Linked DNA regions of Coturnix japonica. The main gene of each other region encodes a partner of the protein of the gene in region 3 in a complex. Links are inferred from orthologs where the notes say so. Each region holds a gene or a part of one and is shown on either strand. Other genes may lie near its edges. The genes, in order: RAB29, SFN and LRRK2.

Evidence for each region.
Region 1: the proteins of LRRK2 (region 3) and RAB29 are in contact, whole or in part, in a cryo-EM structure (PDB 8FO2), measured with the Homo sapiens proteins. The link is inferred for Coturnix japonica from reciprocal best matches to the Homo sapiens genes LRRK2 and RAB29. Residues at the interface, in NP_940980.4 of Homo sapiens: Arg361, Lys362, Arg399, Met402, Leu403, Leu406, Met407, His408, Leu437, Ser438, Lys439, Gly440, His442, Leu443, Asn444, Glu447; in NP_001129134.1 of Homo sapiens: Leu7, Val42, Asp43, Phe44, Ala45, Leu46, Arg58, Gln60, Trp62, Leu76, Tyr77.
Region 2: the proteins of LRRK2 (region 3) and SFN are in contact, whole or in part, in a crystal structure (PDB 5MYC), measured with the Homo sapiens proteins. The link is inferred for Coturnix japonica from reciprocal best matches to the Homo sapiens genes LRRK2 and SFN. Residues at the interface, in NP_940980.4 of Homo sapiens: Lys907, Ser908, Asn909, Ser910, Ile911, Ser912, Val913, Gly914, Glu915, Phe916, Tyr917, Arg918; in NP_006133.1 of Homo sapiens: Lys11, Glu14, Glu39, Asn42, Leu43, Ser45, Val46, Lys49, Asn50, Arg56, Arg60, Phe119, Lys122, Arg129, Tyr130, Pro167, Ile168, Gly171, Leu174, Asn175, Val178, Tyr181, Glu182, Asp215, Leu218, Ile219, Leu222, Asp225, Asn226, Leu229.

The regions. Positions count from the first base shown.
Region 1 is NC_029541.1:2,557,988-2,563,354, reverse strand, and holds the start of RAB29 (ras-related protein Rab-7L1), read left to right. Parts: upstream 1-2,094; 5' UTR 2,095-2,118; coding exon 2,119-2,242; intron 2,243-2,394; coding exon 2,395-2,466; intron 2,467-2,919; coding exon 2,920-3,101; intron 3,102-3,326; coding exon 3,327-3,448; intron 3,449-3,776; coding exon 3,777-3,894; 3' UTR 3,895-5,367. UniProt on the Homo sapiens protein: The small GTPases Rab are key regulators in vesicle trafficking. Essential for maintaining the integrity of the endosome-trans-Golgi network structure.
Region 2 is NC_029538.1:1,604,647-1,609,006, forward strand, and holds SFN (14-3-3 protein sigma), read left to right. Parts: upstream 1-1,955; 5' UTR 1,956-2,108; coding exon 2,109-2,849; 3' UTR 2,850-3,348; downstream 3,349-4,360. UniProt on the Homo sapiens protein: Adapter protein implicated in the regulation of a large spectrum of both general and specialized signaling pathways. Binds to a large number of partners, usually by recognition of a phosphoserine or phosphothreonine motif.
Region 3 is NC_029516.1:13,457,243-13,461,458, reverse strand, and holds part of LRRK2 (leucine-rich repeat serine/threonine-protein kinase 2), read left to right. Parts: intron 1-873; coding exon 874-1,026; intron 1,027-1,734; coding exon 1,735-1,943; intron 1,944-3,332; coding exon 3,333-3,407; intron 3,408-4,216. UniProt on the Homo sapiens protein: Serine/threonine-protein kinase which phosphorylates a broad range of proteins involved in multiple processes such as neuronal plasticity, innate immunity, autophagy, and vesicle trafficking.

The DNA.
Region 1 (5,367 bases), on a different chromosome or scaffold from region 3:
TGATCCACTTTTGTGCATTCAGGATTGCTTCCAGCTGCAGCTGGGCAGGAGCTGCTCAGTACCTTCCCTTGCTGAGTATGAAACTCGGGAGCATCATTGCTGCTGCTGTCTCTTAGAAGATGCCATCTGTGTTCAGCCTTTGGCTTTCCCTGTATGCGTAGGAGGAAGCAGGAAAACAGGTCAGCAGCACAGCCTGACTTGTGCAGCCATGCACTGTCAGCGCAGCACTCTATGTGGCTCTCAGCAGAGCACCCTGCTTGCTTCAAGCTGCACTTGCAGCCTGGGGTTGGTGACAGCCCAGCATGCCAGCAGAGGGGCTGAGCACTGTGAGCCTTGTTTCCCTCCTGCTTTTTGTGTTGCCCAGCTGGGAGGTGGCCAGGAAAACCTGCCGTTCCTCCACCTGTGCTCCCCGGGGGGATTCTCATGCAGCAGCATAATGAGAGAAAACCAGTTCTGGTTGTGTGACTGAGGCGTTTGTAATACAATCACCTTCCTGGGTGCTGTCAGAGCTTTTTACTTTTCCCATTTGGATATAAATCAATTCAGTGAGCTGAGCACAGTTTATTTAAGCGAGTCTTATTGACTTGGAAGCTTCACTCAATGATGTGCTCAGCAGGCTCTGATGCAAACTGCATGCATGGGAGAGAGCTCCTAATGTTGGTAGGGGTGGGGATCATAGTGTCCCATGGGACCCAGTTTTGGTGCTGCAGTGCCCAAAGCACAGGGAGATGCCCTTAAAGGACCAGAGCTCACACTGCAGCCCTGTGCCTTTTGTGCTGCTGCATTTCCTCTTTGCCTGCAGATCCAGGGCCATCACCTGAGAGCTGCAGGATCTGGGGTCACCTACAGGCTGCTGCTTTTCTTCTTCTGTCTTGAATGGCTTCAGTTCCTCCCTTAGGTTACCTTCAGCATTTCTGGCACAAAGAGGCAATGCTCCCCTCCTCACCTTGCTGATGTGAGGCTCGCCTTCCCCCTCTCCATCTCTGTGCTGTCCCCTTAGTGGCAGTAGCTCTGACCCTCCTTCTGTCTCCTGTAGTTGACTTTGGCTGCTCGCAGGTCTGATTCAGCCACAGCTCTGCACGAAAACACAAAGGAAAACCAAAACATCAGAACAACCAACCAAACTCATACCCCAAAGCAAGAAGTCTGAGCCTGGGGGCTCCTCCAGCATCCTCTGCTCTCACCTCCTATCCCTGCCTGATGCTGAGGGGTGGGATGTGAGATTTCCTTCTGCTGCCATGTTTGTGTATGGCCGTGCCATTACTGCTCTGTGCTGTGATGCCAGGGTTTGGTTCCCTGAGAAAGCAGTGGTGTCAGAGGGAGGATCTCCCATGGTCTCCTATGGGTGCTGAGGTGCTGTGGGGTGAATGGGATGGGGCAGGATCTCATTTAGCATCTCAGCACATGGACAGCCAAAAGCTTTACCCATCACTTGCACTCGGTTGCACAGCCCACCTTACAGCTGACTGCAAATGAGAAACGCCGGGTTGAGCTCTCTTTGTATTAAAGAAAAAACAAAGCAAAGACTTGTCTTAATTATTTATAGCTACTGTAACTGGATTGACGGATGTCAACTGCTGATAAATTATATTTCCTTAAATAAAGATGACATTTATTTATGCGGACTTGGGTGCCCTTCTTTCTTCCATCTCAGGAGCAGCTTAGAAGCACACAGTTTTGCAGCACTGATAACAGCCCTGGGGGGGGGAGGGGGGGGGTTGGTTCTGTGCTCCTATGGACTGAATGGGAGCAGCATAGAGCTGTGTATGGGGGGGTCAGGAAGCAATAAGGGCTGTCCTATGGGGGTGGTTAGACAGTAGGGCAGGCTTGGTGGGATGCCCTCTGTGCCGTTCCATTCTGTGCTATTCTATCCCGTTCTATTCTATCCTGTCGTCTCCCGTTCTGTTCCATGCGGCTCTATTCCATTCTGTCCCGTTCTATTCCATCCCATTCCGTTCTGTCCCGTTCTATTCCACCCCATTCCGTTCTATTCCGATCTTTCCCCGCCCCAACAAGCTCCGGAACTGCGCTGTTCCGCCTGACCATCACGTGATCGCTGCACCCGAGGGTGGGGGGAGGGAGGAGGGGGTGGGTTTTGGGGGGGGGGGGGATAGAAAGATGGGGCAGAGGGACCGAATGTTTAAAGTGCTGGTGGTCGGGGATGCTACGGTGGGTAAAACATCGCTGGTGCAGCGCTACGCCAACGACAGCTTCAACCGGCACTACAAATCTACTGTGGGAGGTGAGCACAGCCTTGAGGGGGGGGTTGGGATGGGTGAGCTCGGTGGTTCCTTGTGTAACGTGGATGTAAATGAAGCTGTAAAGAGTTGGGGGGGGGGGGGGTTCTGATGATTTAATCCTTAAAGGAGTTTCTTTTCCTATGGGGGTTCACAGTGGACTTTGCACTGAAGGTGGTCCAGTGGTCTGAGTCGGAGACGGTGCGGCTTCAGCTGTGGGACATTGCAGGTATGTTCATATAGAGCCCTAAAGTGCATCCAGGTGGGGATGAGGCTCCATCCATCCATGTGTTGGGATGGGTGGGATTTTAGGGTGCAGAGCAGGTTGGGATGCAGGGCTTTGGGTTTGGGTGTCTGGGATCTTCATAAAGAAAACAGGAAGGAGAAGTTTGCAGGGAAGGGATTGCAGCAAAGAAGCAGATTTCAGTTTCAGTGCTGAGAAGTGCATTAAAAATCAAAGGGTCCTGAAAAGATATTTGGGAAGATAAAGCAGAATCCCTCACCCCATGCAGTGCTCAGTGGGGGCTGCATAAATGCTTTCTCATTATGGTGCACCTCTGTTTCCTAAATGGAGTTTGGAGCTGAGGAAGCAAAGTCCTGCTGTGGGCACTTATTTGGTTGAGTAAGTCTTAAAAATGGGAACTTAAAAATGGGGATTTTTGTCTTTTTTTTGATCCTGAAGGGCAGGAACGCTTCACATCCATGACCCGGCTGTACTACAGGGAGGCATCAGCCTGTATCATCATGTTTGATGTCACCAATGTCAGCACCTTCAGCAACAGCCAGAAGTGGAAGCAGGACTTGGACAGCAAGCTGACGCTTCCAGATGGGAGCCCTGTGCCGTGCCTGCTGCTGGCCAACAAGGTGAGCACAGACAGGGCCACCAACCTCACACTGAATACCAGCCCAGGGCCCCATCCAACATGGCCTTGAACACCTCCAGAAGAACCTTGCCCTGAGAGCTCTGTGTCAGGTTGGGATTGAGGAGATTCAAAGCTCTCCTCCTACTGCCCAACACTGCCCAACAGTTCCCCTCCCAGCTTGGGAATGGAAAGGTTGAGCCTCACCTGGCTGACTCCTGTTTTACAGTGTGACCTTTCCCCGTGGGCAGTGACAAGAGAAGAAGTGGATCGTTTCAGCAAAGAAAATGGCTTTTCTGGTTGGGTGGAAACATCCGTCAAGGAGAACAAGAACATTAACGAGTCTATGAGGTAGGAACAGCAATTGGGGCACACTGCAAGAGTTAATTCCCTCCTTCAGACAGTGCTGGCTGAGGTAAGGGGAGATGCTGTCATCAAGTAACAGATAGCAGCAATAACATGCAAGTGAATCTCCTGAAGGGAAACTGAATTCAGAGAGGTCAGACGCTGTGCTGCCCTTGGTCAAGCAGCTTGTACCCAGGAAGCTGATCCTCTGCTCCTTAAAGCTCTGGAGTTTTGTGTCCAACCAGGAGTTGTTGCTTTGGTTCTGTTGTTGTTCTGTTTTGTTTTGTTCTTCTCTGTGCTCCAATGCCCTAATTCACATCTATTTGTCTTCCAGAGTCCTGATTGAGAAGATGATGTCCTCATCCACTGGTGATGGAAGTTCTGCTTCTTCCTGGAGGGGGGATTATATTAATATCAAAGAGACGTCCCCGCCGGGCTGGGCGTGCTGCTGATGCACTGACTGCTCCATCTGCTTCTGTTTTCTACCCCTTTTTTTGTCTGTTTTCAAAGATAGTGAACTGTCCTCTCTTTACATTCATACTCACTAAGCATTGCTGCAATGGCTTGGAAGGAGGAATGGAAAGAGTGAGGAAAGGAGCCCTCTTTCTTCCAGCACAGCAGCAGTGGGAGCACGGCACAGTCTGTGCTCAAGCACATGGCTGGGATTCATCTTTTAAAACACTGAGCACTTTTCTTCATCTTCTCCTATATGACAGCCTGTGTCATGCAGGGTGAAGGACGTGGAACGTGTATTTTTAATGCTGTTGCACCTTTGGTACCTTTTATCCCCCAAGACCTGCACCTGATCCACAGAGGCAACCATTCCAGAGTGCTGCAGTAACCCTCATTTGATGCGCATGAAGTTGAATCGTTCTCTCTGCTCCTGTGGGTTCCTGGGGTGAGATTACAGCAAACCCTTCATTTTGTGCTCTGGAACTTTACACCTCTGTCTGCCTGTTGCTGGAGACCAACACATCTCAGCACTGTCATCCCATGTCCTTAAGGTGTGGATCTGAGATGGAGCACAGCCCTAAATCATGTGTGTGCTGACTGCGGAGTTGTCAGCGTTGCCCAGTTGCCTTCTGTTCCTTCACTCTTACCCTCTGTCTAGCACAATCCCATGTGTTCTCTTCCACTGCTGCTTTATTAGGACACTGGGAGCTGAATGAGGAATGGGTTGTAAACTCCTTTGTGTGCCAGAACAACAGTTCCTTTCACTTTTAGCACACCCTGCGTCCTACCATCTCACTAAGCTTTGCAATTGCTGCTGCATCACCTTCCCACCATTACAGTGCAGTGACTTTGGTGGCAGGCTTTGGTGCTGGAAGCCCACTGCTGGTTTAGTGCTTTAAGGGGCAAGCAAAGACTTTGCAGGGCAAAAGGAAATGAAGAAATCTGCTCCCCAGCTGCTTTTTTTGTGCCTGCTTTTCCTAATGTATCCCCCAGGTGTGCCTAGCTATGAATGGCTCTTGCCAACCACAAACTGTAAGAACACATTAGAGTTATCTTGGAGGAGCTATAAGGAAGGCCAGTCTGGAAGGCTGCAGTTATGCAGCACTGTGGGCTCTTGTCATCATCCTGCTGTGCTATAGAGTTGTGTCCTGCCTGTGTTGAGGTTAGGGTTTAAACAAGTGCTCTTCAATGATGTTTTCTCTCATAGTTTACATCTCTGTGTGCCAAAAGATTAAAAGGCAGAAAAACTTTCCCTTAAGAACATCCATCATCTGTGGATGCAGAGTAAGAACAAGAACTGATTGCCTTTTGTTATCTGGGGTTGAGAAAGATAAGCTGTGAGGAAGGGCTACAAAACCTCGGCCTATGTTATGTTCCAAATATCCAGGCTAAGATTCTGTTGTGTAAATATTGCCAAATTCAGCCTTATAAGCACTTAAATATACCTTTCCCTGTGCCTTCGGGTTAACTGG
Region 2 (4,360 bases), on a different chromosome or scaffold from region 3:
CTGGTAGGATTCTGCCTTTTACTTTTGTAACAAAATAAAGATTTTCCCATTTCCTGTCTGTCCGTGTGGTGCTGGGCTCCATCCCACATCCCTCACTGCAGCTGTGTGAGTTCATGGGTGCTCTGAGGGTGGTGGGTGGCCATTGACCCCTCCCCAGCAGGGCACAGAGCTGGGGCTCTTCCTTCACCCCCCCTTAACTCACACCAAAACCAGTAGAGCAGAATATTTCTGCAGCTCCTGCTCAGCTCTTTGCCACCAACATTTGGCAGCAGCTCGGTGCTTCTGGCAGCACCCAAACCCACGAGCTCCATGCTGTGCCCTGGGGGGGACCTGCCCCCATACACAGCCCCATTTGTGGTCTCTCCTATGGGGTAGGGGGCAGAAGTGCATTCTGTTCAAAACCACAGCCCCTGTGCATCCATGAGGTCGAGCAGTGCTCACGGGGGGTCCACTTTGAGCCCCAAACTCAACAGCCCCCACCATGTGGCTGGATGGGGACTGGGACCGCATAAGCTTGGGACCAAGAGCTGCCAGCCCTGAGCAACCCCAATGGGGAGAGGATGTCAGGGATGGGGCTGAGGGTGCTGGCACAGCGCTGGTGAAGCCCTTGGCTCCATCCCCACGTGCTGCCCGCCGCACCCTGCCCTGTGCCGGCGTGTGGGAACAGGCTGAGAGCGAAACTGCAGCGCAACGCCGAGCTCAGATCCTAATCGGGGCCGCCAGCGCTGCTGGGCAGAACTCGAATCAAAATGAGACTGACAAAAAAGAAGGAATAATAATCCCAATTCTTCCAGTACAGCGTAAAGGGAGAGAAAAGAGCCCCGGTGGGATGAGCGGAGAGGGTGGGGGACATGGGGATGGGTGGTGGAGAAGCCTTAATGGGGATCCAGTGGGGTTTGTGGGTGTGGAGCTGCCTTGGGTTTGGGGATGTCCAATGATGGTTCAATGGGGGGGTTGGGGTTGAGTACTTGCAAGTGCCAGGGCAATTCCCCCTGAGCAGGCAGGGTGGAGGAGTTGGGAATGCCCCAATCCCAATCCTGGCCCTGATCCCTGCAGCAGTGCTGGGGTAACGTGCTGCTCCTCCTGCCTCGATTTCCCCACCAGTGGGAATAAATACCAGCCCTTCAAGCCCTTGCAATCACCGACAAGTTAATCATCATATAAAAATGACAGCGATGGGATTTTTGGGGAGGAGACCATTTTTACAGCCAGGTTTATTCCCCGTGCTGTTTCTCTAAGGGTGGTTGGGATGGGGGCACTGGGTGCTGCCGCTTTCCTGCTTCACCCCAATGTGACGACCCCACTGCTCCCTGTTCTGAGCACTCCTGGCAGATGGGGAAGGGTTCCCCCATTGGTCCATGGTCCCCCATTGATCTGGGATCTCCATTGATTCCTGGTCTCCCATTTATTTGGGGTCCCCCATTGATCCGGTTTCCCCCATTAACTCAGGGTCCCCCATTGATCTGGGGATCCCATTGACTGATCCCAAGTCTTCCAAGTATTTGGGGTTTCCCATTGATTTCGGGATCCCACTGATTCCAGGTCTCCCGTGGGTCTGGGTATCCCATTGATCCAGGCTCTCCCACTGGTTCAGGCTCCCCCACTGATCTGGAGTCCCCACTGATTCTAGGTCTCCCATTCATTTGGGGTTTCCCATTGATCCGGGGTCCCCAGTTGATCTTCCCTCCTCCATTGTTTCAGAGTCTCCCACTGACATAGGATGTCCCATTGATCCAGACTTCTCCATTGATCCAGTGGGACATCCCATTGACACAGGGGGGGCTCACCATGAACTCCCTGAACACATCCTCTCCCTCCCGGCACCCACCTGATCCAGGGCAGGGTGGGTGCCACCCGCTCACCCCTTCCCCATCACCCTGTGCCTCGGGGCATGATGACTCACGGCAATTTGCTTTTTAAGGGCGGGCTCTGCGGGGAGGAAGCAGAGGAGGAGGAGGCCGCTCCTTCAGCCTCGTTGGCTCCTCCTGCTCTTGCTCGGGGCTCCGACGCTCAGCCAAAAGCGAATCGGGGCGGTGAAGCTCAGCAGAGGCTCCGACGGCTCCCGGCCCCACTCCTCGTCTCATCCTGCTCCTCATCCGCCCTCAGCCATGGCAAGAAACCACCAAGTGCAGAAAGCCAAGCTGGCCGAGCAGGCTGAGCGCTATGAGGACATGGCGGACTTCATGAAGGCGGTGGTGGAGCATGGAGACGAGCTGTCCAACGAGGAGCGCAACCTCCTCTCCGTCGCCTATAAGAACGTGGTGGGCTGCCAGCGCTCGGCGTGGAGGGTCATCTCCAGCATCGAGCACAAAACCGAGGAGGGAGACGACAAAGCGCAGCTGGTGAATGAATACAGGGAGAAGGTGGAAGAGGAGCTGAAGGGCGTCTGCAACGTGGTGCTGGGCTTGCTGGAGAAGCACCTCATCAAGAAGGCCGGAGATGCAGAGAGCAAAGTGTTCTACCTGAAGATGAAGGGAGACTATTACCGATACCTGGCTGAGGTGGCCTCCGGCAACGACCGCAAGGAGACGATCGACAGCGCCCAGAAGGCGTACCAAGAGGCCATGGACATCAGCAAAAAGGAGATGCAGCCCACGAACCCCATCCGCCTGGGGCTGGCCCTCAACTTCTCCGTCTTCCACTACGAGATCGCCAACGCCCCCGAGCAGGCCATCTCGCTGGCCAAGACCACCTTCGACGAGGCCATGGGGGACCTGCACACGCTCAGCGAAGACTCCTACAAGGACAGCACCCTCATCATGCAGCTGCTCAGGGACAACCTGACGCTATGGACAGCCGAGTGCGCGGGTGAAGACGGCGGCGAGGCTGGCGAAGAGCCCAAGAACTGAACGGCCCCCAATGCAGCTGGGGTCCATCCCCCACCTCCTTCCTCCTCCCCTCCCTCCCAGACTCCCCCCCCTTTCCCCTTCCCCTTCCCGAAGCCCTTCGGTGTCTTTTCCTTTTGTTTTGTTCCTTTTTTAAGGAGTGGGGAAGGTATTTCGCCCCCCCACCCTTACCCCCCCTCCAGTTCTGGGAGTGGGGTCCATATGTTTGCCCTTTGGCAGGGCCTCCCCTTTCCTTCTCCCCCCCCCCATGTTCTTGTCATGCTCCCCTCACCCCTTTAACACTTTGTTTGGGGGATACCCCAGCGTAGCTTAGGGGGGGCCCTAGCCCTCTGTCTTGGGGGGCTAGAGCCGTGCCGCTGGTCCCTTGGGGGCAATGGGAGGAGGTGATGGGACGGGATGGGGAGAAAGGGGAGGGGGGGGGTTGATGTGCCCCCCACCCGGATGGAGGATTGCGAATTGCCGAAGCCTCTGTGTGGCTCCAATAAACCATCTCGTGCACGTCTGCCTCTGTGGTCGCCTCATCTCTCCTGTCGTGCACAAGCCCAGGCAGCTCCTGCAGCTCCCACAGCCGGTCCCATTGCGTGCCACGCCATGCTGGGGAGCACTCGGGGCCTCCAAAGTGCAGGTCTGGCTGCCTGCAGCCCCTCCCAGCCCCGCCATGGGGTGTGGGGGTACTCAGCCAGCCCCAGACCTCAGGGACGGGTCTCAGAATGGGCTTTCTAGGTGGGTTTTCCATAGGGAGAGTATGTCCCAGGTCTCCAGCCCTGCAATTGTATGTCCCCATTCCCATGGTGTCTCCATCCCTTTGGTTTTCCCATTCTTGTACTGTCCTCATCCCCAAGATGTTCCTATGGTGTCCCCACCCCCATAGTATTTCCATCCCCGTAGGGTTTCCATCCCCATGGTGTCCCCATTCCATAGTGTCCCCATCCTCATAGTGTCCCTATCCTCATTATGTTTCCACCCTTATGGTCTTCCCATCCCTATGATGTCCCCATCCCTACAATGTCCCCATCCCCATCTTGATGTCCCCACCTCCATGATATCTCCATCCCCATGGTGTCCCCACCCAAACCACGCAACCCACAGTGTCCCAAACCCCATTACTGGGGCTCCGTGCAGACAGGGGGATGTTTCAGCTCTTCCCCTCCAGCACTGACACGGAGCTGTCACAGGGGAGGTGACAGCATCCCACCGAGGTGAGGACATCCCCATGGAGGTGTGGATGTGCCGGCGCTGGAGAAAGCTCAGCACTTCTGGCCCTGGCTCTCAGCCACAGCGAAGGGTGCAGCTCTGGGAGCGCGAGTTTCAACACGAACAGTTAATTACACTGAAATCCAGTCCTGGCAGCCTGGGCCGTGAGCTCATCAGATGGAGAGCAGCAGGGCTGGGCCGTGCTGGGCAGGACCCGGCTTTGATGGGAAATGGGGTGGCAGGAGGAAGCCGAGTGACTCAGGGTGTGCCGGTTCAACGGGGTCTTCACTTGGGGACATTGGGGACATAGTGCTGAGCTG
Region 3 (4,216 bases):
TCCTGCTCTGAAGTTATGGGCCTTTTTCCTGAGCTTGTAATACAGTGTTTGATTTTATACTAATAAAGAGAATTATTCTAGGAAATGAATTTGCTTTGGAAAATAACATGTTAATATAACAGAAGAAACCTAAACTTCGGTAGAATTCAGTTCAGTGGCAAGATGAACAGCATGTCAGAGGGATACTTCAAGCTTTGTAGGAGCAAAACTGTGTGCAGCTTAGGAAATGAAATTGTCAGGAACAAGTAACATTAGGGAAAGCAGCAGTGTTGCTGAGTCTGTTGTCAGGTGTCTGTGATTTGGAGCTGCTCTCCGAGATAAACTGAAGAGGCAGTGGAATAAGATAACTCTGATTAATTACAGGGCTAGCAATTGTTTGATGTGTAGATTTGGCATTAGAGCCAAATTCGTATGTAGAGAAAAGCAGACCAAAAGGCAGCTGGCTGCACTGAGATGAGCAGAGCAAAGTGATCTCAATCTTATTGCTGCTTTTTAGGCTGAGTCATCCTTGGTAAGTGACCTTTATGGTCTTGTGGGCCCTGCAGCAGCTGTCAGGCAGCTTCAGATATTGAAAAGGTGGTTAAAAAAAAAAAGGTGGAGTTTGCCTTGCTGTGATGTGAGTATTTGTGATTTGAGCAGATCGGTAGGAGAGATTTGGAATACATCTCCAGGGAGATCAACCTCACTGCTGTGAGAATTCACAGCAAAGTGCAGGAAGGTTTCAGCGAGCCCTTGCAATTGTATCCCAGCCCACTTGGGATTTAAGGCTGAACTATTCTCCTTAGAGTTACAGACAACTCGATTATAGTCAGGGCTTTTTTTTTTCTGCTGGATGTTTCCTGTGATTCTGACTGGAGTTCTTTTCTCTTCTAGGTTCTGTCATAACGCTTACAGTGATGCAAACATTATTTCCATAGCAGTAGATAAATCCATCTACTTGGCAAAGAAAAACAGCCATTTTGTGGAAATCTGGGACAAGAAGACGGAAAAACTTTCTGAACTAATTGACTGTGCACATTTTCTGAAGTAAGTCCTTTTTTTCCAACTGACGACCTGTTGCACAGAAAGCTGACTTAAGGTTGCCTTCTCCAGTGCACTGATATGATGTGCTTGATATATATACCTCATGTTTCTGGAGATAAGGGGCTTGCCCAGATCATTAGGAGGATTTCTTTTCTCTCTTCTGGAATTTCATTTCTCTAAGACCTTTATATATTTCACAAGCTGTGATTTCAAGAAGATTAATTTAACTCTACTGAAGAAGAAAGTCTTTTGCTGTCCTTAGCTGATCAGGTAAGATAATGATGCCTTGTGCTCAGTTTCGCTGCCTGCATCCCCTAATAAAAAATGTCCTCTCCTTACGTCAGAGTTTTAGTAGCAGTGACAGCAATTTACATTTGCCTTTAAATTGTTCCTCTTCCTTAGTGTTCTATTTCCATTTGATTTTTATGGTGACGCCTAGGAGGAGCTTTACGTGTACTCCTCCTCCTCCCACAAACTGAGGGAAAACAGAGAAGTGAAGCTGCCTCCTATTTAAAGACATTTTCCAGCACGCTGTCTGGCTCTTAGAAGTCCAGTAGTTTTCATCTCAGATTGTTTAAATTAAATCAGAATGAGCTATTTGCAGTTGTCTTGATGAACGATCATTTAAAAGGCTGGCACTGAGGGAGACGTTCTGGCAGCTATGGGATGGGTGCCACCAAAATTTAATACAATTTCTCTCCACGCTTTTAGGGATGAAGTGGAAAAACTGAACAAAGAATCAAAGCATAAAGTTGCTTATTCTGGAAGAGTGAAGACAATTTGCCTGCAGAAAAATACTGCACTGTGGGTAGGGACAGGAGGAGGACATATCCTGCTACTTGATTTATCAACACGTCGCCCTGTACGGGTTATAGATAACTTCTGTGACTCTATTCGAGTCATGCTAACAGCTCAGCTAGGTAAGTAAAGCCATCAAATGACAAGCACTTTGAAATTGGGGCCAAGATTAGGATCACTGGCTTCTGTCTGATGTGGTGTTCCAGGAACAGATTAGCATTTTCCGTGTGCTGTTCATTCATACTATTCTACTGCTGTCAACTTCACTCTGTGTCAGACAGACCAGTGTTAGATGAATACCAACAGGCTGCCATAGAAAGTAACAGCTCTCCTCTGGCTTATCACTGGTCAGCACAAGAACACACCCACCCTCACTGTATCCTTTGTGCCATGCTTTGTCATAGCTCTCACTGTCCTCTGTCCTATAGGCATTGTCTTAATCTCTGTCTGTCTGTGTTGATTCCCCATCTTAAGTTTTGTGCTTCTGGTTTCTCTCCTGGTGAAGCTCTCCTGATAGCTACAGTATTAGTGCTGTAAAGGGACTCTTATTTTTAGTGTTTTGTACAGATAGATAGAATAGTTACTATAAAAATAAGGTTTCTGCCTCGCGTTATTCTCATTGATAGGACGATTATATCCTATAAAGTAATATGGTGTGACTTAAGCCTTGAGTCTCATATGCTTGGCTTCCAGACTACATGGCATTTTTAATCAAAATTTTATTGAGAGAAAAATTAATACTTCATGAGAAATAGATTGGTTGCATTTGCACACAACTCAAGGATGGCAAGGGGCTGATCCCTGCCGTTTGATGTGTACTTTTTCCTTTTGATCATTTTCTCGCAGCAATTATTTATAAAGGCCGGGCTTTTCTCCTACATTCAAAGACTTTGTAAGCACAGAAGCCCTGGAAATGGTGCCATGGCTGCTGAACCCTTCTTCATTTTAACTTGAAAATATATAATGGCAATGTAACTATTTTCAGAAAAAAAGGGATTTTGTTGAGATATCAATTTTGTCTTCAGTTTATGTATGGATTAGTGAATGTGCCTTTTTCTAACTCTGTCACTTGACAATTCACATATGACACACAAGACATCATCCTTAGAGGACAGTTTATATGTAAGTATCTGTAGTATCTGGCGCTTTCTGCTGACCATTGGAACGGTGTTTGCAGCCTCTTCTGCCTTCACTGTGATGCCTGTTTTCTGCGAGTGCTGCCTCTGCACATGGTCAATAGCAGGGTGCTTTCTTCTTAGGCTCGTTCAGCAGGCTGAACAGCTGATCCAGGCTTTGAACTCTGGTCAACCCCTACATTAAACAGAGACATTAACTGTATTGTTTATTTTCATGTTGGTTTTTTTCCTCACGGTGGATGACTGTGAATAAAGGGCCCAAAGCAAAACTGTGGTTTCTGTCATCTTAGCAGCGTTTGTAAGATCCTCTTTCTGTCCTTCAATTACAAACCTCCCATCAAAATTAAAATCTGACCTTTTCTTTCTTTGCAAAAGGGAGCCTGAAGAACGTGGTGGTGGTTCTGGGATACTGCTACAAGAGCGACACCGAAGATGACAAATATCACAAAGGTACCTGAACTGTGCTTTATTAATTTGTATTATTAGTGAAGCAGAAACTATGACGCTCGGCCACCCTCTGAGGTGTGTTTGGAGAGCTGGCGATCAACATTTGATCTACTCTTTTGAAAATTATTATTCGTTTTTGTCATTGGTTATGTTTCTGGGCTCCATACAAACAATTCAGTTGCCTGAATTGATCGGATGAAGCTACTCTTTGGAGGGCACATAATTTTCTAGAAAACTCTATTTGGAGAATAACTGCCCATGTCTAATTGTGGAGCGTGTCAAACGGGTTTCGAGAGGGGCCTCCAGGAATACTCAGTGTTATGGTGAATGATGTGGATGAAGGAATAACGCGTCTGCTTTTCATGTTGGCAGACAGCACTTAGCTCAGAGGAGCCACGAGCACAGTGGAGGACAGGACCGGAATTCACTGCAACCTTGACAGATAGAACAAATGGTCTGGAAGGAATAGGATACAGTTCAGTAAGGACAGATGTGAGACCTCAAACGTAATTAGGAGGGATCAGCTGTACCAACAGGAGGAAATGGTCGGCTTAAGCAGTGGTGCTGAAAATAAGGTTTATTTTGATCACACGTGGAACATGAGTCAACAGCGTCATGTTCCTGCAGAAGGGACAAAAACCTTTCTTATGCCAATAGAAAAGTGGCTTCTCTAAGACATGGGAATTAATTCCTGTGCTCTGCTGAGCTCTGATAAGACCTCTGCTGCAGGAGTGCATCCATCTGGGACAATGCTGAATGATCTGAACTATTAGGAATAGTCCAGAGGAGAGAAATGCGGCCTCTGGGAAAAT